Linked DNA regions of Yarrowia lipolytica. The protein of the gene in region 3 purifies or fractionates together with the protein of the main gene of each other region. This does not show direct contact. Links are inferred from orthologs where the notes say so. Each region holds a gene or a part of one and is shown on either strand. Other genes may lie near its edges. The genes, in order: YALI1_D11722g, YALI1_A12302g, YALI1_B01698g and YALI1_B13137g.

The links.
Region 1: the proteins of YALI1_B01698g (region 3) and YALI1_D11722g purify together in Saccharomyces cerevisiae (affinity purification with mass spectrometry, with the first as the bait; 3 studies listed by BioGRID). This does not show direct contact. The link is inferred for Yarrowia lipolytica from reciprocal best matches to the Saccharomyces cerevisiae genes NOG1 and SPB1.
Region 2: the proteins of YALI1_B01698g (region 3) and YALI1_A12302g purify together in Saccharomyces cerevisiae (affinity purification with mass spectrometry, with the first as the bait; 3 studies listed by BioGRID). This does not show direct contact. The link is inferred for Yarrowia lipolytica from reciprocal best matches to the Saccharomyces cerevisiae genes NOG1 and RRS1.
Region 4: the proteins of YALI1_B01698g (region 3) and YALI1_B13137g purify together in Saccharomyces cerevisiae (affinity purification with mass spectrometry; 10 studies listed by BioGRID, with this or other methods). This does not show direct contact. The link is inferred for Yarrowia lipolytica from reciprocal best matches to the Saccharomyces cerevisiae genes NOG1 and RLP24.

The regions. Positions count from the first base shown.
Region 1 is NC_090773.1:1,167,701-1,174,743, forward strand, and holds YALI1_D11722g (uncharacterized protein), read right to left. Parts: upstream 4,560-7,043; coding exon 2,007-4,559; downstream 1-2,006. Other genes in the region: YALI1_D11666g (uncharacterized protein), read left to right, coding at 1-269; YALI1_D11686g (uncharacterized protein), read left to right, coding at 924-1,664. UniProt on the Saccharomyces cerevisiae protein: Required for proper assembly of pre-ribosomal particles during the biogenesis of the 60S ribosomal subunit. Specifically methylates the guanosine in position 2922 of the 25S rRNA at the stage of 27S pre-rRNA maturation.
Region 2 is NC_090770.1:1,227,051-1,232,425, forward strand, and holds YALI1_A12302g (uncharacterized protein), read left to right. Parts: upstream 1-3,219; coding exon 3,220-3,840; downstream 3,841-5,375. Other genes in the region: YALI1_A12284g (uncharacterized protein), read right to left, coding at 906-1,403; YALI1_A12294g (uncharacterized protein), read right to left, coding at 1,889-2,402, 2,451-2,512. UniProt on the Saccharomyces cerevisiae protein: Required for ribosome biogenesis.
Region 3 is NC_090771.1:166,446-173,075, forward strand, and holds YALI1_B01698g (uncharacterized protein), read right to left. Parts: upstream 3,449-6,630; coding exon 1,523-3,448; downstream 1-1,522. Other genes in the region: YALI1_B01711g (uncharacterized protein), read left to right, coding at 4,719-5,282; YALI1_B01719g (uncharacterized protein), read right to left, coding at 5,368-5,548, 5,592-5,668; YALI1_B01725g (uncharacterized protein), read right to left, coding at 5,843-6,105, 6,149-6,167. UniProt on the Saccharomyces cerevisiae protein: Involved in the biogenesis of the 60S ribosomal subunit.
Region 4 is NC_090771.1:1,311,045-1,316,158, forward strand, and holds YALI1_B13137g (ribosome biogenesis protein RLP24), read right to left. Parts: upstream 2,661-5,114; coding exon 2,094-2,660; downstream 1-2,093. Other genes in the region: YALI1_B13112g (uncharacterized protein), read right to left, coding at 1-236; YALI1_B13122g (uncharacterized protein), read right to left, coding at 755-1,225; YALI1_B13150g (uncharacterized protein), read left to right, coding at 4,022-5,114. UniProt on the Saccharomyces cerevisiae protein: Involved in the biogenesis of the 60S ribosomal subunit. Ensures the docking of NOG1 to pre-60S ribosomal particles. Activates and recruits ATPase AFG2 to cytoplasmic pre-60S ribosomal particles.

The DNA.
Region 1 (7,043 bases), on a different chromosome or scaffold from region 3:
GTCTCGAGAGCTCTTCGACTATCGCAAACCTGCCGTTTATGGCCCGATACACGCTTCTTTTGGCGCTGTCCGAGACGGAGTGGGGCATGCAGCGGCTTCTGTCGTTCCCCAGCTTGATTGACAGCGAGTTGGAGCTGCAGGACCTGAATCCCGAGTCTGCACAATTCCGGGACCTGTTTCTTCAGCGGCTTTTGTCCACACCATGGAAGGGCAGGGCCGAGACTGCGCTCAATGGAGAGAAGGCTCCTCAGATTGAGATGCAATTGTAGAGATAGGGCTGAGCAATCACAGAGTAAACACGACTGTGAAGACTGCGTGATCTAAGACTGAGTGAACACGGATCTACAGCATGCTATGTGTAATGTGGTTATGTAATCAATTATGCTTATACTGTACTCGTAGACAAGGTTCTTGGTGCCTTCTGCAAGCCTTGCCTTGGAGAAGCCCGATTTGCTCCAAATTTTCGGTCGAAACCTAGGACTCTTTGCAACCGCCTCGGAATAACTGGACGAGCCTAAAAAAGTGTGCAACGGCATTTGGTTGCGTCTATGCATGGACTCGTCTAATTAAGGTTTGTTAGTCACTGCGGTTTTTTTCCGCTCCAGAAACGCGAATCGGTCTGAATCATTAGAAAGCCGTCTGAATTCGCGCGGTTTTCCACGGAATCGAAAATTCTCCTCTTTCTGAACCCCGCGACAAGGCTTTTTTTTTTGCCCCTCCCGAACCCCACACTTAGTTTGGGCCCACCCAGCTGACGTCACCGAACATTAAATAGCCGTTGCGTTTGTCTGCAAGCGGTATTGCAACTTGCCAAGATTGCTACGAGTGCTCCAAGACCACTCTTTCTCTTCCTCCAACCACTCCAAACGCAAGTACACATCAACAAACCACCCACACACACACACACACATCACACACACACAATGGCCCCTCGAGTTATCTTTGTACGACACGGCGAGACCGAATGGTCAAAGTCCGGCCAACACACGTCGGTGACTGATCTGCCATTGACTGAGAACGGAGTCAAGCGAGTGCGAGCGACGGGACGGGCGCTGGTGGGCCGAAACCGGCTGGTGAACCCGGCGTACGTGGAGCACATTTTTGTTTCGCCCCGATCTCGTGCCCAGCAGACGCTCAAGCTCTTTTTTGAGGACGAGCCCGAGGCTCTCGCCAAGATCCCCCAGACCGTGACCGAAGACATTCGAGAGTGGGACTACGGCAAGTACGAGGGCCGAAAGTCAGCCGAAATCCGGGCCGACCGAACCGCGCGAGGCATCGACAAGGACGGCCACAAGTGGAACATTTGGTCCGACGGCTGCGAGGACGGAGAGTCGCCCCAACAGGTGCAGAAGCGAGTGGACGAGCTCATCAAGGAGATCCGGGTGATCCACAAGAAGGCGCTCGACGAGGGCAAGGAGCATTGCGACGTCATGGTGTTCGCACACGGCCACATCCTGCGAGTCTTTGCTCTGCGATGGGTCAACGGAGACATCACCATCAACCCGGCTCTGATTCTCGAGGCAGGAGGAGTCGGTGTGCTGTCTTACGAGCATAACAACATTGAGGAGCCAGCCATTTACCTGGGAGGAGCCTTCTTTGTGCCCGACGAGGATGTGGAGAAGAACAGCGGAGTCATTGCGCTGGCTGGGGGAGAGCAGAACTAGTGCGAGCCACCTCGTAGTAAATATGAATAGATACATGATTACGGATGTGAGTGGTGATTGATATGGTGAGTAGTGGATCGCATCCAGTAAGAGACTGGATCAGTAAGGAGAACTGTTGATTGATTCTACTTAGTAGAGGTACCCTGTGATCCTAGGACACACTCTTTTCTTCTCTAGTAAGTTAGGAACACCAGAAATGAGCCCCCCAGTGGACTTTTCATGCTAAGTAGATCCAAAAAACTATTTCAACTAAAGATACAGTCCAACTGACTGAACACCAACAATCACATCCACTCTCTCACTATTCTAATACAATACCATCCATTAATTCTATCCATATGACTATTTCTTGCCCATCTTCTTCTTAATTCGTCGAATAGCACGCTGCTCCTTCTTCATGGTTCCATCAACCATCTTATACTTTCCTGTGACTCCTCTAGGTCGGCCAGCAATACCCTTGTTCTTTCCTCCGGCGTAGACGACGGTGACGGTCTTCTTCTTGGACTTCTGGGGCTTGGCGAGCTTTCGCATGAGCTTGGAAATGTCATCGGCCTTCTCCTTCTCCGATCGCGCGCCATCTTCGTTGATCAGCTCGGACTTCTTCTTCATCTGCTCCAGTCGTCGGAGAGCTCGCATCTTCTTTCGGCCCTTGGCCTCCAACACCTTCTTGATGGGCCGGGCGTTGAGAGTCTTCATCTTCTGCTTAAGCGCCTCCACAGCCTCCTTGGTGATGGGCTTGTTGAGCTTGTTATGTTTGTTTTCGTCGTCCTGGAACCACTGGGGCAGGCCGTCCAGGTCTCGGAACGAGTACCGGTTGTAGCCATCGTCCTGGAGCTTGTGTTTGTTGGTCTGGCCGGTGGCCAACTGGTGGGCCATGGTCATGGCCTGGTCGGTCACCAGATCAATGTTGGGCTCGTCGTCGGAGTCAGACTCGCCATGCACGTACTCAATGTCAGAATCGTCCTGCTTCTGGGTCTCCATGACGATATCGTCCTCCTCGTCTTCACTGTCGGAGTATTCGAGACCGTTCTTCTTGGCGTACTTGCGCTTCTTGGCCTTCTCCAGCTCAATCAGGTCCTTGGCTCCGGGCTCCAGCAGGTCCAGAGCCTTGGGTTTGGCCTCGGTCTTGGCCACGGCGGCGTTCACCAGATTGTCGAAAATCGGGTTGGAAAAGAACATGTTGCCGTTGTTGAGAGTTCGGGCAGTCTTGCCGTCGTCCTCGTCTTCGCCATCGTCAATGGTGGCCATGTCAACATCGTCAGCAGACATTTCGCCGTCAGACTCGTCACCATCCTTCTTGTCGGAAATACCAAACCACTCCTCGGTCTCAACATTGGCTTTCTTTCGCTGAACCACACTCTTGGCAGTTCGAGCAGCCTTGTTCTCCAGATACTCGGTGTACATGGACTCGAGCTCATCCTCCAGACCGTTGGCCTCGTCGTCGGAGCCGTAGTCGACCCGCTCGGCCTCTTCCAGAGTCACGTGCTCGTCGCCTGTCTCGCTCACATGGCTTCGCTTACCCTTCTGCAGCTCGCTCAGCTTGCCGGTTCGCTCCGCCTGTTTCAGGTTGAACAGTGACTCCATTTTGGCAGCCTCGATACCGAGCTCTGTGGGGGTGGTCATGTTCATCTGCATTCGCTGGATTTCTCGCTGTTTCATTTCGTTTCGGCGTCGTCTTTCCCGCTTCTTACGGGCCTTTTCTCGCTCGCCAAGCTCAGACAGCTCCTTGTCAATCAGCTGGTCCTCGTCCAGCTCCTCCTCCTCAACCTCCACTCCGGCCTCGGGCTTGTCAATCTGCAGAAGGTCACGTGCGCTGAGTCGCCACTTGAGAATGGCCCGGAACTCCTTTCGGCCTAGCACCTTGAGATCCTTGAGACACTCGAGCAGCTCTGGGGTGGTCTGGGGCAGCTTGGACACCATCTTGAGAGCGTCTTCGTCCGAGTAAACCTTGTCGTCAAGCACATACTGGACGTTTCCCCGCTCGTCTCGAGCCTCCTTATCCTTCTCCTTCTCTTCCTCCTCGTCAACCTCTCCCTCCTTGATGGATCTGGGGGTCCACGTCATCTCGTTGGTCTCTCCCAGATTGTCAATGGGAGTAGAGTCTGTGATAAAGTCCAGAATGGACAGACGCTTGTGTTGCAGGTACTCGCCCTCCTCGTAACCCTCTCGCTTTCGTCGCTTGACCTCGGGGTTGAACACCTTGGCCTCGTTGTTGTTGTTGCCCTGAGACACCTCCTCGAACACGTACTTGGCGTCCAGCAGTCGGGGGTCGATTTTCTTGGGAGCCTTGAACTTAAGACAGACGACGAAAATCTCGGCGGACACGTTTCGCGAAGAGGGCGGTTTGGTGGCCTCCACCTTCTCGAAAAACTGCTGGAACACCCACATGAGGTTGTTGTAATCTTTGGATCGGAACACCTTGGTGACAAAGGTTCCGCCCTTGTTGAGGAACTCCACCGCCAGCTTGAGCGATTGCAGAACCAGCTCGGACTGCGTGAAGGCATCCTGGGCCCACGCCATACCCACGTTGGGCGCACCATCGTGCATGACTGTGTCCGCCTTCCACGTTTTCATGTATTGTCGAAGCTGCTGTCGGCAGTGGTCAGTGGTGATATCTGACTGGAAAGTGATGACGTTAGGAAGCGGCTTGATGGGAACAATATCACAGCCGATGATGAGTGAGTTAACGGGACAGAGCTGCGACGCCACCTGACACCACGAGCCAGGAGCAGCACACAGATCAATCACCACCTTGGACTTTTCTAAAAACTTGCCGTACTTCTGGTTGATCTGGATGATTTTGAACGACGATCGCGCTCGGTAGCCCTTCTCCTTGGCCAATCGATAGTAGTGATCCAATCGACCTTTTCCGTGTTTCTTTTGAATTTTACCCATGGTTGTCTGGTTGTATGGTTAGCTGAAAAATAATTTTAGAAGGCTCATGCAGCCTGTCCGATTTTTTAACCTCAAGGTTCGGTAGGGTAACACAAAGCATAGACGGGCCGTTGAGTAATTTACTTGGGATTAGTTGGAAAGGGGACAAGGGGCGAAATCCTACCCTCCGGTATATTTCATTCATTTGAGGGGGATGATTTTGGAAGCTGACTTGGTTGCAATGTTGTTCATGACAATAATCCTCGGGTATGGACTTTGTATTTGCCACTGACTGAGACTGGTGATTAGTTAAACCTTGTTAAGGAAAACTCGGCTGGGGGTGCAAATATGGTGTTCCAGGGGTGGTAGAAAGATGGGGAAAGGTTCAGATTGTATGGAATTTGAATATTGATGAAAATAATTATATTATTTCCCATATTCTCCATACAAAATATGATTTTATTGCCATTTTTGTGGAAACTGGGACCCTAAAATTACTTAAGCTTTAGTTGAGCCTGAATGAGTAGGACTGGATCATATTGGAGCACCTATAAAGACATTCTAACCAGAAGGAAAATCACACTAGGAGACGCTCTAGGAAGAATTACTCAGTGCTAGGAAGAACTACTTGTACAATTGTTGGTTGTACTCGTACGAGAATGAAACCAAAGCGCGTCTCAGCTTGAGTTTTACTCTACCAGTGGCTCCTTTCTAGCGTGTGTCTTAAACAGCCGCGCTGAGAGGCGTTCATCTAGATGTTCATTCTTAGACCCACGAACAATTACAAGAGAGAGAATTCACGTCTTGTCTCCAATCCTTCCCTCCTATACCGAGCTCGTTCTGGCATGGTTCCGTGGGTGGCCGGAGTGTTGTTTTCTGGCCATATCAACGACCAGTTCCGACAGAGCATACAGTAGTGAATCAGGCAGTTTTCCGCGGTACTGTATATCGACAATGATCATCCAGGCCGTTCCACGCGGTAGGTCGACTAGGCAGATCTCCGCGGCAAGGCTGTCTCAAACTGACTCTGGAGCTCATTCCGGTTTAATCAAGTGTCGGGAGGAATCACGTGTCCAGAGAGGACTGGCTATTCAACTCTGTAAACAGTACCTCGACATCTCCTCCACAATGTCATTTTGTTGGTATACTAGAAGCTATTGGAGAAGATCAAGTTATCCGGTAGGTGAAGACGAAGATGAAGACGATGAAGACAAGATGTGGCGAGAGAGGTCTCAGCTCAAATTCGGCTCAAATTCGACTCAAGTCGTTCACAGACAGGGACGATGTCAGTTTGTTACTGTAAGATGGCCTCTTTTTCATTGCATATCGATTTCAACTCACTCGTACTCGTACTTCTCAGGTAGTCAGTAAATTGAGTTTAGCAGAAAAAAATCGAGTCAAATAAGCTTTTGTTAGAGTTTTAAGCGTGCATGATGGTGCATAACTCTGGATTTTTAATTTACACGGCTAATTCGCAGTCGAGACGAATAAATTGTCAATAAATCCAACGTTAATTAATTTTGAGTTTCTGGAGGAAATGGAGGAGATTTGGGCTGACTCGAAAGAGTACTGCTGCTGTGCTGTATTGGTATATATTCTCAGATATGTGTTTCCTCTCGTCGGGTTTATTCGGGCACCTAACAACTGTGTATCAACAAGTGCTGTTTGAGACGTGTTGTGCACTTTGGGGTTTTGAAGACTCCGTTGAAAGTGCCAAAGTCGCTCAATGAGAGCCCGGCATAATCGAACTCTCTCGCTTCAATTGAGTATCTAAAACGTTTCTAGGATTCAGATCTTCGATGAGTCGTTTCAGGAAGCTCAATTGACGTTGTTGGTGTTGGGCCAGATGATGCCCAAAGACACGATACCCCTGGACGGAGTATGAAGCGTTCCTGAAGCATGTCCCGTGGGATTCAGAGAAGGCTTTGTACAGTTTCTGTGTGTTGTAGTGGTTTATTACGCTACCAGACTGTTTGGTGGGTAAGTAGACCGGAGATATAGAAGTTGAAAGATAGTCAGTCAAATACGAGAGTGTCAGTAGGTGTAAACATAATGACGATATTTTAGAAGAAATCCAGTCTAATTACTGTCGTAAATGGCTTTTTTATAAGTAAAACAAGTAATTCTACCGGTACTAATGCGGGTACTGTGTGTACTAATATAATCGCATGTTTTGTCTTTCCTGAGCATTCAGTTCAATCACCGGACATACAATCGACAATTCTCCTTCCTGTATCAGACCTTGAATGGCCATGTCTGGGTCAAGTTCAATCGGATAAAGCAAGACGTGTGAGCACAGTATCTACCTGTTCAAGTACCGGTATATTACTTGTGCAATTACAGCGCTACATAAATATAGGTCGCCTCTACATATCTATGAGCAGACTTGTCCATCACGGATTCCTATGCTGACTCTGAAATAGTCATGCACAGACACCTGGTAAGTCTCATCAGCAATATAACAATAGTGGGCCTTTGAAACAGCCGAGTATCAAGATTCATTGT
Region 2 (5,375 bases), on a different chromosome or scaffold from region 3:
GAGGGACAAGGACAAGTCCGGTGCGAGCTGAAAGTCGACCAAGACTTCGCTTAGCGTCTGGAGATAATTATCATTGACACAAACCTGGACCTCGCATCCAACAAACATTGTGAGAACTGCGGGTGAAGTTCTTGCTTCTAGGTAAGTTACTCTTTTCACAACATTTCTTCGAAATCACAGCTGCCAGCAATTCCAGCTTTAACTGTCTGCAAAATGACCAAAGCTATACGATCAAGCGCCATGTCTGCCTTCTCTCCTGCTTGATCTTGTCTTTCTGCGACTACAGTACAACTACTACACACTCTTGTCGTACTCGGCAGACTCTCGTTGAAGAGTAACAGCACCTTAGAGCTTCCCCCTCTCTACAGATGCTCGCACTAGAACAGTGAGAGGTCAAAAGTTGATGAACCATTAGACCTGCTTCAACGGAGATTGACAAGAAGACGAAAGGATTTAGAACACTTGTCCATGACTGAATCTCCAACACCCTATACTCTACAATTAGGGAGAGATAACTCATCCTGAAGAGATGTCCGACCAAATATGGATACGGTCCTAGGAACATGTCTCAGGATCAGTATAATGGACGAAGGAGAATGGGCTTGAAGAAGGCGAACTGGTCAAGTCGGAACTTGCACTGTGTACTTGGTGGCAGAGACTTAGTTGGGGGTAGAGCTTGGTTACTTGTTGGTGGAGATTGGGTACGGTACAGTAGGTACTTGGTAGTAGAACTTGGGTGCTTGTTGGTAGACTGGATACTTGGTTGAACTAAAGCACCAAGAGTGCCAAAAGAGTGCTGAAACGCGAACGCCATACCGCACCTCGGCACCAACCCACCACCTACAGTTCACGGATAAAAATACACATACATCATTATGGATACATCAATTGGCAGGTCCCGGCATCTACTGCAGGTAAAGATGTCGCTTGGCAGCCATCTCAACGGCAGCAGCTCCCCAGTCCTCTCCGTGGTTGTGTCCATCAGGAGTGAGACCAGCTCGCTGAAGAGCCTGCTCCTCGGTCAGACAGGTGAGCACGCCGAAAATGACGGGGGTCTTGGTGGCGATCTGGGATTGCATGAGGCCCTGGGAAACGGCGTCGGCAATGTACTCAAAGTGCATGGTGGAGCCCTTGATGAGCACGCCGATGGAGATGACAGCGTCGTACTTGTGCGAGTCTGCCATCAGGTGGGTGATGTAGGGCAGCTCGTACGAGCCGGGCACAGACTCGATGAAAATGTTCTCTCGCTTGACCTTGAAGCCGCACAGAGAAGAGATGGTTCCGTCGAGCAGAGCCTTGATCACCTGCTCGTTCCATCGCGCGTGCACAATGGCGATCTTGAAGTCGGAGCCGTCGTAAATGGCGTCAGAAGCGCCAACACCCTTAATAGTACAGTCGGTCATTTTCAGTTGGTACAAAGTGCTGTGTGTGAGTGTGTGTTTTGGGGGTGGTGATGATGATACAGGGAGATCTGGGCCAACCCAATTGTAACCGCGTCTGCTGCATGACTGACAAATACCCGGGAGTTTGATTAGTCATCCAAAACGGCCCCGAAAACGGCCATTTTTCCGCCCAACCCTGTGTTTGGGCTCCAATGGCCAATAAACGAGTCGGATTTTTCGGTCTTTCCTCTCTCACACGCTCAGAACCACGATTATCGCTATCGACTGTTTTTTTCAGCTCCCATTTTTGTCTCAGGGTTAGGTTCGAGACATTCGTTTAGCCTCGGTCCTATGATCATCAGACTCAATTACAGTAATCTCAGAGATAAGAAAGAGCAACTGAGAGCGTGCTAGCTGTTGTCGCGCGCCGCTCAGGCTCCAAATGGCTGAGTAAGCCATCTCAGCCGTTTTCTCGGACCATTCCACCCGGCCTTACCCGCGAAACTTCATGCTCCAACATGGAACACTCTTGGCAGATTGTCCCGGCCTCCACCAAACACGACAAATGTACGCCCAGCCTCGCCGGACATTGTCATGAAACTCAATCCAACAATGCCATAGTTCGGTATCTTCCCGTGGCCTTCTTTCTGTGGCGATGGCTGACTGGCGGCAGCAAGTCGGAGACGAGACCTGCGCATACGATACCGTACAGCATGCACCAGACTCTGTACGGTGCAATACCGGCTCTGTACGGTGCAATACCGGCTCTGTACGGTGCAATACGGCTTTGTATGTACGGTTTTGAAGAGACTGAAACAGCGCCGGTTCAGGGACTCTGGGTACAATGAGACATGTTGCAGTGTTTGGGGTTTGAAACGAGTTGCGACATAGTACGAGTACAAGTACAAGTGCACATTTGCTCCAAGTTCTTGTACAAGTACAAACTTGTAGGACGTGAATGTCGATCTAACTGCGGGAAACGTATCGTGGCAACGGCTCAGCTTGTATAGTGTATGATACCTGGATGTACCGGTACAACTATGTACTGACCAGACTGTTCATCTTCACCACAGCAAAATGAGATTGCACACATCCTTCAGAATGAAACAATCAGTTGACATCTCTGGCATTCACATTCAAAAGCGCATATATGGACACCAGCTCGGAGTCAGGTCACGTGACCAGCAACCTTGTAGAGCCGTTCTGTTATTATACAAAAAAATTAAAAAATTAAAAATTAAAAAAATTAAAAAAAATGCGAGGTGAAATATTCGGGGGAAATAAAGTTTTTGTCAGGTGAAATTCAGAAAAACGAATCAACTGAGCTCACCGGTTCGTACGTCGGTTGAGAGTGTTGCTAACGACTCTGGAAGTCACAGATGACTGTTTTTCGAAGTGATCATCATATCATCGTATCAACTTTGGCACATGTTGGATCCGTTCGGGGAACCTCATCTGGCAACCTTATTTTCAATATATCTCCGTTATCAATGGGGAGTAGAGATATTGTAAATCTAACAACATTTTGGTATTTGCCAGGAGGTTAGGATTATTTTGATACCAATTTTGGACCAAATCGTCAGACCGTTGTATATCCAGCGCCATTTCTACCGTAATGTCGTATGTAAAACACGTCCCTAACCCCCGACGTTGAATTACCTTGAAAAACCTGACCCAACAGGCTGATTTGCATATCTACTACAGTAGCTGGACGCCACCAGCTCCGTGGTCCTGCTGACTAATCAAAAAGCCAAAACCCACATCAACCTTATCAAAATATTTTTTTCAGGCTGCAGGAAAATCTCGACTATTACGCACAAGATACACAACAACAACCATGAGCGAAATCAAGACAGTGACCGTGGAGAAGCCCGTGCCCGTGACGTACGATCTGGGCAACCTTGCAGTATTCGACACAAATCCCGTGGAGGTGGATCTAAACGACCTGAACGTGGACGGCCAGGCCCGAGAGGAGGCTCTCCAAGCCGTGTCTCGAGATAATGCCCAGCTGCTCATCAACCAGCTTCTGTCACAACCCATCAAGAACACCACGGACTCTAATTCGTCCAGCGGCAACCAGAACTCCACCATGTCTCTGATCATGCTGCCACAGCCGTCCACACGTCTCCCTCGAGAGAAGCCCATTCCCAAGCCCAAGGCCATGACCAAGTGGCAAGAGTTTGCTCTCAAGAAGGGCATCAAGTCCAAGGCCCGGGATGGCAAGCTTGTGTACGACGAGGCCACCGGCAAGTGGGTGCCCAAGTGGGGTTTCAACGGAAAGAACAAGGAGCTCGACCAGCAGTGGTGTGTTGAGGTGGACGATGGTAAGGGATCCAAGAAGAACCAGGAGGACGTTATGCTCGATCCTCGAGCTCTGGACCGAGCTTCTCGAAAGAAGCTGGTCAAGAAGAACCAGAAGCAGCATGAGCGAAACCTCAAGCGGGGCGTTTCGAAATAGGTGGAAAAATAGACTAATTATATTTTGATCATTAAGCGGGTAGGCGATAGCAGTTGTTTGGTGGATGTAACGTACTTGTACAAGTTCAATGCGGTAGTTATGACTGATCTAGCGGTGTATGTTGTCGTAGTTCAACCTCTGTGACTGAGGTTAGTTCTATCGAGTGTAGTTGACTGGGACTGACGACTGGAGATGTTGCTAATGCTTGAACGTTGACTGCGAGTGCGAGTACAGTACGGATACTTTGCACAATAGATGTATAGCCCACTCGAGTCGATTGTAGCAGTCATCTGTCTCGTAAACTGCTGGAGACCATCCAAACATGCATCTCTCAATCCAGAAGTAACAGAATAGCACGAACACGAACAGTACGAACAGTACCGATACTGGAAATCGTGTTTGTTGGTAACGTCTGGGATTGACACTCCGATCAAACGCCGTTATCCGGTAGTTCAAATCACTTGGTCGGCGTTCTGTGCAAAACTGCTTGTGCTGTACAACATACTTATCATCTGATAGTTCCACACAGTGGAAGGGGTGAATGTGGATTCTGACAAGACCATTCACATGATTGTTTTTCCATAGAATAGTTATCTTTCATCTCCGAAGACATGTCCCATGGAGAATGGTAGGCAGAGTTCTGGGTGAGAGAGAAAGACATCCAGATCTACCGTAATTCTTTAAATGTTGAGATCATTTTAATTAATAGGTTTTACTCTGGAAATAAATCTTTATCCTGTCAATTTTCAGCCCTTTTCTTCGTTTTTTCTCCGAATTTCCTCACTTTTCCCATTTATTCCAATTTCCCAACCTGATCATATATTTTTTCCAATCTCCACCAATTTTTTGATCCAATTTTTAGTCCACAATGACCCAATAATGGCCTAACAATGGCCTAAAAAGGACCCCCGACCCAATAATGACCCAATAATGACCCTAAAAATGACCCTAAAAATGACCTATAAAAATGACCTAAAAATGACCCAATAATCTAACTGTACCTCCCAATAGTGGATGTACTGTAAAGCAGTGCACAAGCGACAACAAAACACCTAATGACCACACAAAACAGGCTAGAATCGCGACTAGAGGACCGTTTTCCGTCAAATTTCGAGCACAGAACCAACCGAGTATTTCCAACGCCACCAAAAACCAACATGTCCTAAAATATTACGAAAAACAATGGCGGAAATCATTGCTGATACCCAGACGAACCCCGCATATTTTTTTATTTTTTTTCTGCAATATACTTCATATTAAATTATAACTTTGCTGTTGAAAGGAATAAACCTTTGAAATGAATGTAACGCTTACACGAATATTACTAATTAAACACGTTTTAGTGTCATGGTTCCAACTTGGCCACGTAACTATTTCCAGTAAAAAAATCATAAAAAAACCTGTCGTTCAGTTCCGTGTTTGTATGTTGGTCCACATAGCTTCGCGTGTTTGTTCGTTCATCGGGAAAACGCCACTCCAGTCTCCAGTTCTCTAATCTCAATCCTTCCATTGCCCTCTTCGTTTGCATTGCCTTT
Region 3 (6,630 bases):
CAAAACAATTGTGTTCACCTGAACAAGAGCTCTTCAACGATATAATTTTTACTAATGTTCTGATTATGTAACCGTCACAAATGAGCAGTCTTGTGCAGAAGAAAGGCTTCTGTATATGGCACCTAAACAGACAATGTATATGAACATTGGGATTTAATAAACGACCCCGAAAGACATAAAAGCAGAATAAAACCACAATAATCGCCTGAAAAAAAGGCTTTGGAACACTTTGGAACACCTTGGAACCGTTTGGAACCCTTCTGACACCCCATTCAGGCTTCAGTACAATTTTCAGAATTTTCACGGACATTCCACTTTAATCTGGCCGACGAGCGTTTGTGTCTCCAACTTTTGTAATACCAGCACTGGAGGGATAAAAAGTAGTTTACTAAAACCGTGTCGTTTCGATGATTAATTTGGTACTAATTCTGACAAAATTGGGTACAATTAGAAAATAGGACAGATAGAAGTGTGCTCACACCGGAAGACATGGCAAGCTTGAGAAGAGAAGCGGTCACGCAATGTGGTCAAGCGACTATAATCACTTGCAGATGCTCTAATCACGTGCAGATGATCTAATCACGTGTGGATACTCCAATCATGTGACTGAGAAAGGGAGGAAGGAAGGAAGGGCAGGGAATTTTGGGAGACTGGAAGGGGGTTTTGGGAGCCGTATCTGGAACAACAAAGGGTAACGACTTTGACTTGGTCACGTGACCAGTTCTTCATAGCCAGTATAGAACTTTTGGAGACGTTGTCAGCGCTGTTTGGAGTTGGGTCCAGATCTTTCGAGACATTCAGAAACGCTGGTGTTCTCAGAAAGCTGGTCATGGAGCACTCAGACATTAGTACATGTAATGATAAGGCGTTGAACAGCCGGGAGAGTCCAGTCTCTGCTGGTTTGAGAGCACGTGATCCAAACATTGGAGTTTCCGTCACTTTCTCAGCTGAAAGTACCAGACCTCCGTGAGAAACCAGATCCACTTCCCCCGTTCAATGTCAACTGGAACTGTTACAACCTTCAGCAGCAATCTGCTTCTTGGGCAAGTGCCTACAACTTGACGAGGTCTCCGGTATTGTCTCCAGAATGACTCAGTGAGCTTAGGGGTTCCATCGGCATGAATGTCCGAAAGAGTATCCGTTCTAGTTCCACATGATTTTTTTGACTGTACTGGCTTGTATGTATGATACGATCCGAACTGGTGACTTGACGACCGCGTCACGTGACTCGGCGACCACATCACGTGATCCGCGAACTGTCATCGCTACAATGCTACAATGTCAGAGCTACAATCGTTACAGCTGACCAGACCGACTCTCGTCACTCAACTCGCCTATTCAATCAATGCTCAATCTATTAATATAAAACTTTTCCGTGATCCATCTATCTAATCCAGGTGACGACCAAGTGAGTACCCAACCAGGTTGGTTGGAGACACTGAGCCGACCAAATCAATACCGTAATCAATACCGTCCATGTCTTGAATCCGACTCGGTTTCGGACTACGTCCTCAAACTTTGTCTATCTCCAATCATTCGATCCAACAGTTCTCTTTCCGGAAAACAAATGCTTGGGCTTGGTCTCGGCAATATGTCGATCGGCCTCTCCTCGTCGGGCCTTCATGTTACCCTTTCGCTGGGAGTGCTTGGCCATTCGGTCGGCCTTGGATCGCACGGTGGTGACAATACCATCGTCTCGTCGGTTGGACTGGCCCAGGGGCATGAGGGACATTTCCTGGGTGGAGACGGCCTCGTTGAGGAAGGTCTGGTGGCCAGACACGTCGTCGGAGGCCTTGGCTTCGGCCAGGGCGTTGGCTCGGTCCACCACCTTAGACGAATCGAAGCCCACTCGCTCCAGATGCTCCTCCATGTCTCCCAGCGACTTTTTGGTCTTTGTTCTGGGGATGGCGGCCTTGTTTTTGAGTGACTTCTTGGACCGGGCCGTGTTTCGCATCATTTTGATCTTGTTTCGCAGCCACTGGGCCTGCTCGTGGATATCCTCGGCCTCGTCGTCCTCAATTTCCTCCTCCGAGTCGTAGAAGCCCTCCTGCTCGAGTTTCTCCTCCTCGTCCTCCAGCGCCTGGAGCTTCGAGGCGATATCGGGGTCGATGAAATCGTAGACATTTCGGCCGTTGAGCAGCTCGGGCATAATGTCCTTCTTCCAGGCCTCGTCCTCCAGCAGATAATCCTTGGACATGTCAATGGAAAAGACTCCAGCGCCTCCATTTTCGTCCTGAATGTCCCGCATCAGCTTTCGTCTGTTGGGGTCGTTCTTGTCGTACTTTTGCAGGAACTGGACCGCCTCAGGCACAGCCGAGGGCCGCTCAATGTCGTCTCGCTTGACGGGCTGGGCAATATGGACCTGGTTGAGCAGATCCGAAGAGGCGCCACCCTTGACATGACGCAGCTTCTGCTCCACTCGAGCCGCCAACAGCTTCTCGCACGCCCGGTTTCGCACCTCCATAAGACCCTCCTCGGCATGGCACGACAGCTGCATAATCTCCACGTCGGGCTGGGCAGCAATGCCCTTGAGAAGCTCCTGGTTCTCCTCATCCAGATCCTCCGGTCGCTTGACGTCAATCTTGTTGATGACCACAATCACCTGCTTGTTGGCAAACAGCGGCTTGATGGAATGGAACAGCTTGACCTGCTCGGCCACAGAAAAGCCACACTGCTCGGAAACGTCCATGAAATACAGCACACACGACCGAATGTGGGCAATGGCGTAGATGGACTGCATTTCAATGTTGTTCATCTCCTCGGTGGGACGGTCCAGAATACCGGGAGTGTCAATCGCCTGGAACCGCAGATACTTGTAGTCGAAATGGCCGACATACAGAGACTTGGTGGTAAACGCATAGGGCTGGACCTCGACCTCGGCTCGAGTCACAGACTTGAGGAACGAAGACTTGCCAACATTGGGATAGCCACAGATGAGCAGGGTTCGAGTGTTGGGATCGATGGAGGGCAATCGACCAAGATGCTGCCGAACTTGCTCAAGATAGACAAGAGGGTCCTTAAGCCGCTTCATAATGGTGGCCATACGACCAAGAGCAGCCCGCTTGAGCTGCTTGCACTGGAAAAGAGACTGACCAAACTTGAGCAGACGCACGTAATCACGTGACACCTGATCGATGAGCGACTTGGCTCGGGACAGGGATGCCAGAGACACCTTGTAGTGGTTCTTCTCGTACAGGGTATCGAGCAGGTCTCGATGGAACGGGTGGATTTCGTTAATGTTGGGGAACGACGTGACAATCTCGTTGAGCTTCTCCACAAATCCGTCCGCTGTGAATCGCACTTTTCGCATGTAAAACGCCCGGATTCGCGAGATTTTGAACCCGGCTCGAATTACCGTGGGCGTCTTTCGCTGCGTCCGGTTCAGCACAATGTCCAGAAACTCGCTCTGGTTCGGAATCGTCGGAATATCTTTCCACGTTAGTTGCATTTTTCCTCGTTGAAAGTTGAAAACAGTAGAGTGTGTTGCGTGTGTAGAAAGTGGAGGATTTTTTTTTTGGGAGCTGACGCAGCTGCATAAAACTTTTAAGGTTAACGTTTTGGGATATGCAGAGGTTATTATGGTCACGTGAGGTGGCAATGACTATAAAATGAGTACGGGTACGAGTATGAATACCCGTAATATCGGGATGAGGAGTCATGTGATCGAGATTGGTCTGAATTAGTCATTGTATGTTGATTTTTTTGGCGCTGGAAAACAACACTACAGATTGAGACCGAGTTTTTTTTTGTAAGGCAGGCACTATATTAGCCTAACTAAACTCCCATGGGCTGTGTGTAAATTTTGTCGGAAAAAATGGAAAAAAATGAAAGAAAAATAGGAGAAATATAAATGGTATAGTTTTTGTTATTGAAAAATCCATATTATAATATTCCCCCAATTTATTCCCCATCTAACAGTCTCAATCATCTCCATAGATCCACCTTTTTGCCTTTCTAATTCACCACCCAAACTCTCCATTTTTCTGGTCAAAATAAGCTTATCGGATCGATGGCAATGTCTTCCAGGCGGCCCAGAAAAGAGGAGAAGGGCGACTGTACTGAGAGTGGAGGAGTCTGTGCGATGTGGCGAATCAACTGGCGTTTTTTTCCGACTATTTTTATTGTTTTGGAAGAGTTATCGAGGAGTTATTGAGTAATTGAGTAATTGAGGTTGGTTTTTTTTTTTTTTTTTTTTTTTTTTTTTTTTTTTTTTGAGTAAATTCGAAATTTCGGAGAAATTCAAGCTATTTGGGTGGTTTGGGTAGAGCGAGGTTCATTATATGGCCGTTGAATAGCGCACAATATATATTTGTACACGTCTCTATAATTTGCAAGGAAATGTTCTGAAGTTTTCATTTTTCTTGTCATTTTTCTGAATTTATTCTCTTCTTCTGAAATTGCTATTTTTACTGAATTTCCTGAAATGTAAGTTTCTGATAAATTCAAACGATTAGATTATTCTAAATTATATTTAATCAAATAAAATCTGGAAAAAAGGAAACCTCTAGATATCGATTCTGTAAGTCTCACAACAACCGTCCACATCCTCCTTCTGACCACGCCAACTCCCCAAACGACCCCCAAATGACCCCCAAAGGAATCCCCACTATCATGGCAGAAACACCGCACCTGAACTTAGACTCGCATCACCGGACTTGACAGCATCTCCAGAACTGTACCACAACAGAACGGTACCAGCAACACTTCTCACAACCCACATGTCACTCAACAGCACCAACTCAACATCAACGTCGGGCATGCAGCTCTGCGCCAAAAGCGTGCAACTGGTACTCACCGAAACCTCCAAGCCCTATGATGAGGGCCGATCTCCGGTGCGATACGAGGCGACTGGAGTGACAGTTCTGATTGACGCCACTCGGGTCATTGTGCAGTCGGACTCGGACAACGCGCCCCAGCTGCCTCACGTGGTCGCGTTCAAGCTGGACTGTGTCAATTTCGCCTCGCTGGAAATTCCCATGACCAACATTCTCAAGGTGCAGCTGACTCAGCCGTGGTTTGGCCCCAACTCGGTGGACATTTCGTTTGTGGCGATTCCCAAGGCCGAGAGAGGCCTGCATCTGGTTCCCGGGCTGAGACGGGACGGAACCACGTGGCGAGCCGATCTGTACTTTCGCGAGGGTGGTGCCATTGAGTTCCAAAAGGTTCTGGCGGAGAAACACACAGCGTTCAGGGAGAGAGTCCAGAGACAGGTTTCGGTGGCGCGAGACGGCATCGAGCCGGATTTGCCACAGTACGAGGCTCCTCCTGGTTATGAGGAATAGATGGTGGGATGTGGACGAAACACAACAACCGCTTGGGTCTTATCCGACTGTTGACAGATAGACACTCGACTCAGGATACTGGTGGTTACCCATTTCTCCATTTCCCAACGTTTTCCTTCACGTTTGTTCCACGCTCAAGGCCTCTTCTCCTCGTTTTTCTAACGGTTTTTTTCCCCCGCTCAAGGTCTCTGTCAAGGTCTCTTGTCAAGGTCTCTGTCAAGGTCTCTGTCAAGGTCTCTGTCAAGGTCTCTGTCAAGGTCTCTTCTCTACCGCCCACCACCCTACCCAATCATTCGGCCACTCATATACACAACATCAAACGAGTCCCCTGAAGCGGAGAGCCCCACAAGTATAAGAAAGAGTTGGTGCAGAGACGCTTCACACATTCCGCAGTTTTGAAACTCTGAGACGATCGTGCCCTAAACAGAACCTGGGACCCGCGTCACCCAGTCTCACGAGACCCCGACAGCCTCTTTATACGTGTACGGTATATCGAGATAACTTATTGCATCATTTTGCCATGAGATGAGACAAGCATAAAAATGATATTTTGATGATGGTTACGTGGTAATACCCAGCCAGGCATTGAAAGTATATCTGCTACAGACTAATGAGTGGTGCCATTCGACAGCTGGAGCCCGACCGATCTCCACAATGTATTTCCTTAACCCAGGGCTACTAAATTGAAAATATGGAAGTACACCAAGATCGAGGAGGTCTGCTCTATGAATGTTGAAAGTGGGTCTTACGGTTAGATGCTTATAAAGCTGTCTTATTGTAGTATCATAGTCCCGTGACAGGGCTAAGGGGTCCGTAAGGCGCACTTTGGCGCATAGACTTTACGGTATATCATCCGGAACAGCCACATTTTTTCATTTTCAGCATTTCGAGAGCTGATTGAAGCGGAATTGGAAATGTAGACTCCGGAATGAGGCAATTTCGAAGTCCCCGTGTCTCTAGCTTGTCTGTATCGATTTCTAAAGTCGTTACACATCATGGGTTAGCTCGACAGTATGTAGGTGTCTTCACAATTGCCAAATGCGCATCTTGTAGTAGAAGATATGTATTCCTGGAGTATTTCCATGGTGCTATACCACCAAACATCCGCCCTTTGTTGTCATGGTTATTCCATTGCTATTATCCCTCGTTGTTAACGCCAGTATATATGTCGGAGTCATCAAATCAGGACCAGGATGTACTAAAAATGCTACAGATTCCATTATAAACACTCAAATGTATAGTTTCAAGTTTCTGGGGGCATCCAATGAGTGGTTGAAACACGTCAGTCAACTCCCCAAACGTCCTATGTGCTTCCTACACTAAGTATCAATGATATTCATACGACCTT
Region 4 (5,114 bases), about 1.1 Mb from region 3:
CGTATGTAATCGTAGCCTGTCCTGAGCTGAAGGGCCCGATCACAGCATTCCGCATACGTAGCGCTTGGACAGAAGGGAATCTCCGCGATCAGCCCCTTCATGGACTTGTTGAATTTCTCCATGCTTGCCATTAGGTCAATGAGCAGCTGCTCTTCATGCTCGGCCCTGTGTCTTCCGAGAGTAGAGATGAGATCCAACACGTTAGCTCGGGTTTCACTGGCATCTGGGGTATCCATAGTGTGTGTATAAGGACGAGTGAGATGACGATAAACCTTGGGAGAAGTGAGTTGCGAGATTGGTGACAATACAGATTGCAAAAATCGAACAACAGGATGAGTGTGAGACAACAGGAGACTACAGTACAAAGATGGGTCAAACTACAACGACTCACTTGAGCTGACACGCTCATGACAATAAATATATTCAATGCAAGTTAGTAAATGTCGGGATTCATCGTATCAGAGATTGTAATGAACAATGACAGACACGACTGGGGTGCTGGATCAAATGGTGAGAATACTGCGTTCACGCGACATATCACGCAGTCACAGTCAGTTGTCCGAGCGACGTGATCACCCAGTAGCTCGAGTCGCTCAGTGAATGGAGAGGACAAGACACAGTCACTTTAGGTCACTGTAGCAGTTGCGGAGTCTCGAACATAGCTCAATTAGCTAAGACAACCCGTGTTCATGAAAAATATGGACAATTTGACCGCGCACGTAGGTTGAGTTGTGAGACCCGGAAATCGGGACCCTCAACTTTCCTGTCCCAATCTGAGGGCCTCCTGTCTAACCAGTTTGAGCATGACATCTGCCTGCTGCGGCGAGATTCCCATTTGGCTCAGCACGTTCACCGCCACGACATCAATGTTGACATACGAGGGTGGCAATCCGTAGTCCTCTTCATTGTCCACCACCATGTGTCTAGGGATCACAATGTACACCATGATCATGGTTCCTTCCATGAGATGTTCGTGCAGACCGCTCTTAGCCATGCTCAGGGTCACCACTGCCTCGGGACGTTTGTCTTCGATGCCCTGGCGCAGCTTTTGGGCCTTCATCAACGCGTGCAGCTCTGGCACCTCCTTGAGCCGTAGAGTGTCGAATTCATGCGACTGAACAACGCCGAAAACGCGCACCGAGTCGCGGAAAATGTCGCGTCTGTCGCCCGTCGTTTTCCCGGCCACCAGACGAGCCAGCCGGGTCACTGATGTTGTCTGTGACATGGGGTGAAGAAGAGTGGAGGATTAGGTTCGATGTTGAAAAGATGAGGGAGGTGGTAGAATGGCATGCAGAGGAGGGAGGAAGATGGAATTTCAACGGGGGGATATTCCAGGAATCGCAACCATGTTGAAGGTGAGTATATTCAAATCGAAAGAAAACTGAGCAAGATTGAACAGCTATGATGTAGATATACTGCAACCTTAACAAGTATCATAAACTACAGTATGTACTGTACTGTAGAAGAGAAGGGGGGTTTCTATCATGGCATGATGAGACTTGAAAAAGAGTAAAAATGGTATCGAATGATAGCCCAAGACAAGATGGGTACGCGCAACCTATTATTGTGGCTCTATAATGAATGTTGAGATGTTGAGATGTAAGTCCGGTTTTCTTGAGTCCCGAGACCCAGAAGAAACGGCAATTGGGGTATAAAGACTTGATCGACTCCAAAGACACATAGACAGTGAACAGAACCACCTCTACTATCCTCTCATCTCACGATTAGTAGCATCAAAGTCTCCCTAACCATTATACAAGACTACATGTACTGTAAACTACAAGTACATAAAACGCTCCGATGTTTGCTTCAAAAAGGAGTATTTTCCCTTCGTTCATGCTGTGTTCTACGGTAGTCGTCCGCAGGGAACAGTGAGTTCACGAAGACACACTCGGTCTTCGCTCAATGCACACTAGTACCGCGTTTGCACGCTCTCCTCTCAGGTCGATTCACAAGTGCGCTCTCAATAGAACCACATGTCGTTCTTCAAACCCGATGTTCGTTCGGTAAATAATCTATTAGTCATAATAACAAGACACATCGGCTTGCCAACATCCCCATGCAATAACTTAATATTCTCTGGTGCGTTTTCTTCAAGCTCGCATCTTTCGCTTGCTCTTGGACTTGAGCGCAATCTCGACCTTCTCCCGCTCCTCCTCGGACTCCTCCTCCTCGGACACCTCCATCTCGGACATGTCTTCGTCGTCGTCGTCCTCGCCGGCCTCCTGCATTCGTCGGAGCTCCACCTCTCGCTCTCGCAGCAGCTCGGGGTGAGCCTCGACCAGTTTTCGGTCCTCCTCCAGCTGGGCGGCCTTGTTGCCCCGCATTCGGTTCTTGTAGAAGGCCCGCTCTCGCTTGAGCCGGATCTCCTCCACCTTCTCCATGGCCTCCAGAGTCTTCTCCACGAGGTCTCGGTTGTATCGCACGGGCACGTCTCGTCGGGCAGAGAAGGCCAGGGTGGAATCCACCACCATCTCCTTGCCAGCAGCCTTTCGGAACGCCTTGGTCCATCGCAGCTTTCGGGGGTTTCGCTTCATCTTGAAGTTCTTGTGGCACTTGGATCGGCAGAAACGAAACTCCTTGGAGTCGTTACGCACGAACATGATTCCCTTACCGGGATACACTGGCGACGAGCAGAAATGACAGTTGTACACTCGCATTTTGTGGTTGTGCGGTTGTGAGGTTGTGTATGATGATGAACGAAATCTTCCGCATGCACTCTATGTCAAAAATATTTATTTGAGTTTGAAAATTCTGCACGTCCAAAGTCTGTGGCGAGAGTAAGCGAACAGGGATAATGTGTTGTATATGAGAGGTACAATGAGTGTGACATGCTCATTGAAATATCCACGTGATAAATCTCAGTCAATTTCCGTTTTGCCTATTTTGTCGATTTTTATCGGATTTTATCGGATTTTATCTCATTTAATCCAAATAAATCCAAATAAATGCAGTCCCGCTATAAGCTCACCGCTTACTAAGAACAAGGCGGCTTGGAACGAACGAGTTGATCGAAAAGCGTCTTATGGAGTCTACAAATAGAGAGCAGATTTAGAGAGGTGTCAATGGCTCTTAAAAACGCATTGCGGCTAGAATTGAGCACTCCTGATGACCCGTACTTCACATATTTGACTTGCTCAAAAGAATGAATCAGAGGCATCTTGTCTACTTGTACTAATACTTGCTATGAACAAGAGTCTTTAAATTGTAAACGAGGTACTTGTACTTGTGCTTGTGTGATGTTTCTGAACTGATAAATACACTCTCGTGATCTCATCATCAACACACAGAAGATTCTGCTGCTGAAGAGTATACATCCCTATGGTCAAACAGTGGATACAAGAAAGGGACCTTTTAAGAGCATAATGAGACGAATCGTCATTGAATAGTCAACAAACCAATTGGGTAAACCTCAAATCGTTATTCATTGAAGTTTTTAGGCCTCCATTACCTCATTTATGTGTCTTACCTCGTTCACTTGCGCTAGTTGTTTAGAATTTTGATCCTCCACAGCTCAGACATGATTTTTATTGAACATGTAGTTCATTTATATGCTTTATTCACATAATTAAATGTTCCTGTACATTTATATATCTTCTAGTAGTCCTTTATCTCGAGTCATACTTCTATCTACTGTATATGGAGTTTTCACTGGAAACTTATAGACATCATAACACCCTCATATTTGGATTTAAAAGCCTGAATATTTCGGATTCTGAATAATTAATAGACAAAAAGGGTTTTACTATCACTAAAACCCCTAAAACCAGCCAAATTTCTCTTTTTTTACATCTTTTGCAACATATTATTTTAACGACTTTTTACTCCATCTTCCGCAATAGTTTAGTGGCTAGAATTTCCGCCTGTCAGGTTTACACCAGCACGCGGGGGACCGGAGTTCAATTCTCCGTTGCGGAGTACTTTTTTACCAGTCAAATATCCCCATACCCTAACCCTAAACCAACATGCACCTCCTACCGCCAGAAATATCTGCCTGCTATTACTCAAAATCACAACCACCATGCTTCTCGTTTTGAACACGGCGAGGCGGGGTCTCTTGGCCTCGCCCGGCAAGTCGCTGGTTCAGCAGCATCTGCGACCGCTTTCGATGCTTGTGAATCGGCCCATTTCTCGAGCTCCAGCTGTCCCTGTTCTTATGGCTGTTCGAGGCAAAAAGACCGACTCTGATCTGCCCCGAGATATCGATCCTATTGACCCTCGAAGCAACTCGTTGCGATCTCGAATCCCATCTTTCCCTCTCGGTAAGGAGGCCCAGCCGACCATCATTCCCAAACCCGACACTCCTGTGGTCGGCCCTCGGCTCTCTTTCACTGAAATGATGCTGATCCTGAAAAACAAAAAGGAGCCCGAGTTGCTGTACGAAGCCGAGCCCCACCGTCTCTACTTTGTCATTTGTTTCTGTGGCTCGTTTGTGCTGGCTTTGTACGGAATCATGTTTGGAGAGAACCTGCTGAGTGCTGCCTACATGGACTGGAAGATGAACCCCACCGACGAGCCATTTGTGCACCAGATGTTCAAGTTTGGACTGAGATCTGCTGTGCCCATTGCCTTTACCTCCATTTTCCTCTTCATGTCCTACGTTCTTGCTCGTTTCCCTGGCAGACTGATCCGACGTCTGTACTACCTTCCTGGCACCTACATGAAGGGTGTTCCCGAGCACATGCAGGGCGTGGATCACATTCGGTTTGTGACCCACCCCTATCTTCCTGGTAGACCCTCTCCCGTCTACACAGTGAACCTCAACCAGCTGCGATGTGGAGAGAGGACAACCATTTTCACCAAGGACGGTTTCTACGGTACCGCCTCCAAGTCATCCTTCTTCTTCTTCATCTGGGAAGGCAAGAGTTGGGTTCCCTGGGTGGTCGATCGATCCGGCTGGTTCTGGGGCGACGGACGAGTATGGGATGTACTGTTTGGAAAGAAATCCATCAAGGAGGCCGAAAAGGGTCTGTCTGAGGACGACAAGATCAAACAGCACTGGCGAATCCAGGACGCCGCCAAGGCCGAGCGAAAGCTCAAGGAGGGCAAGTCCTTCTATATCAACGAGTACAAGCGCGGCTTTGAGCGCGACTTCAACACCCTCAAGGCTAACA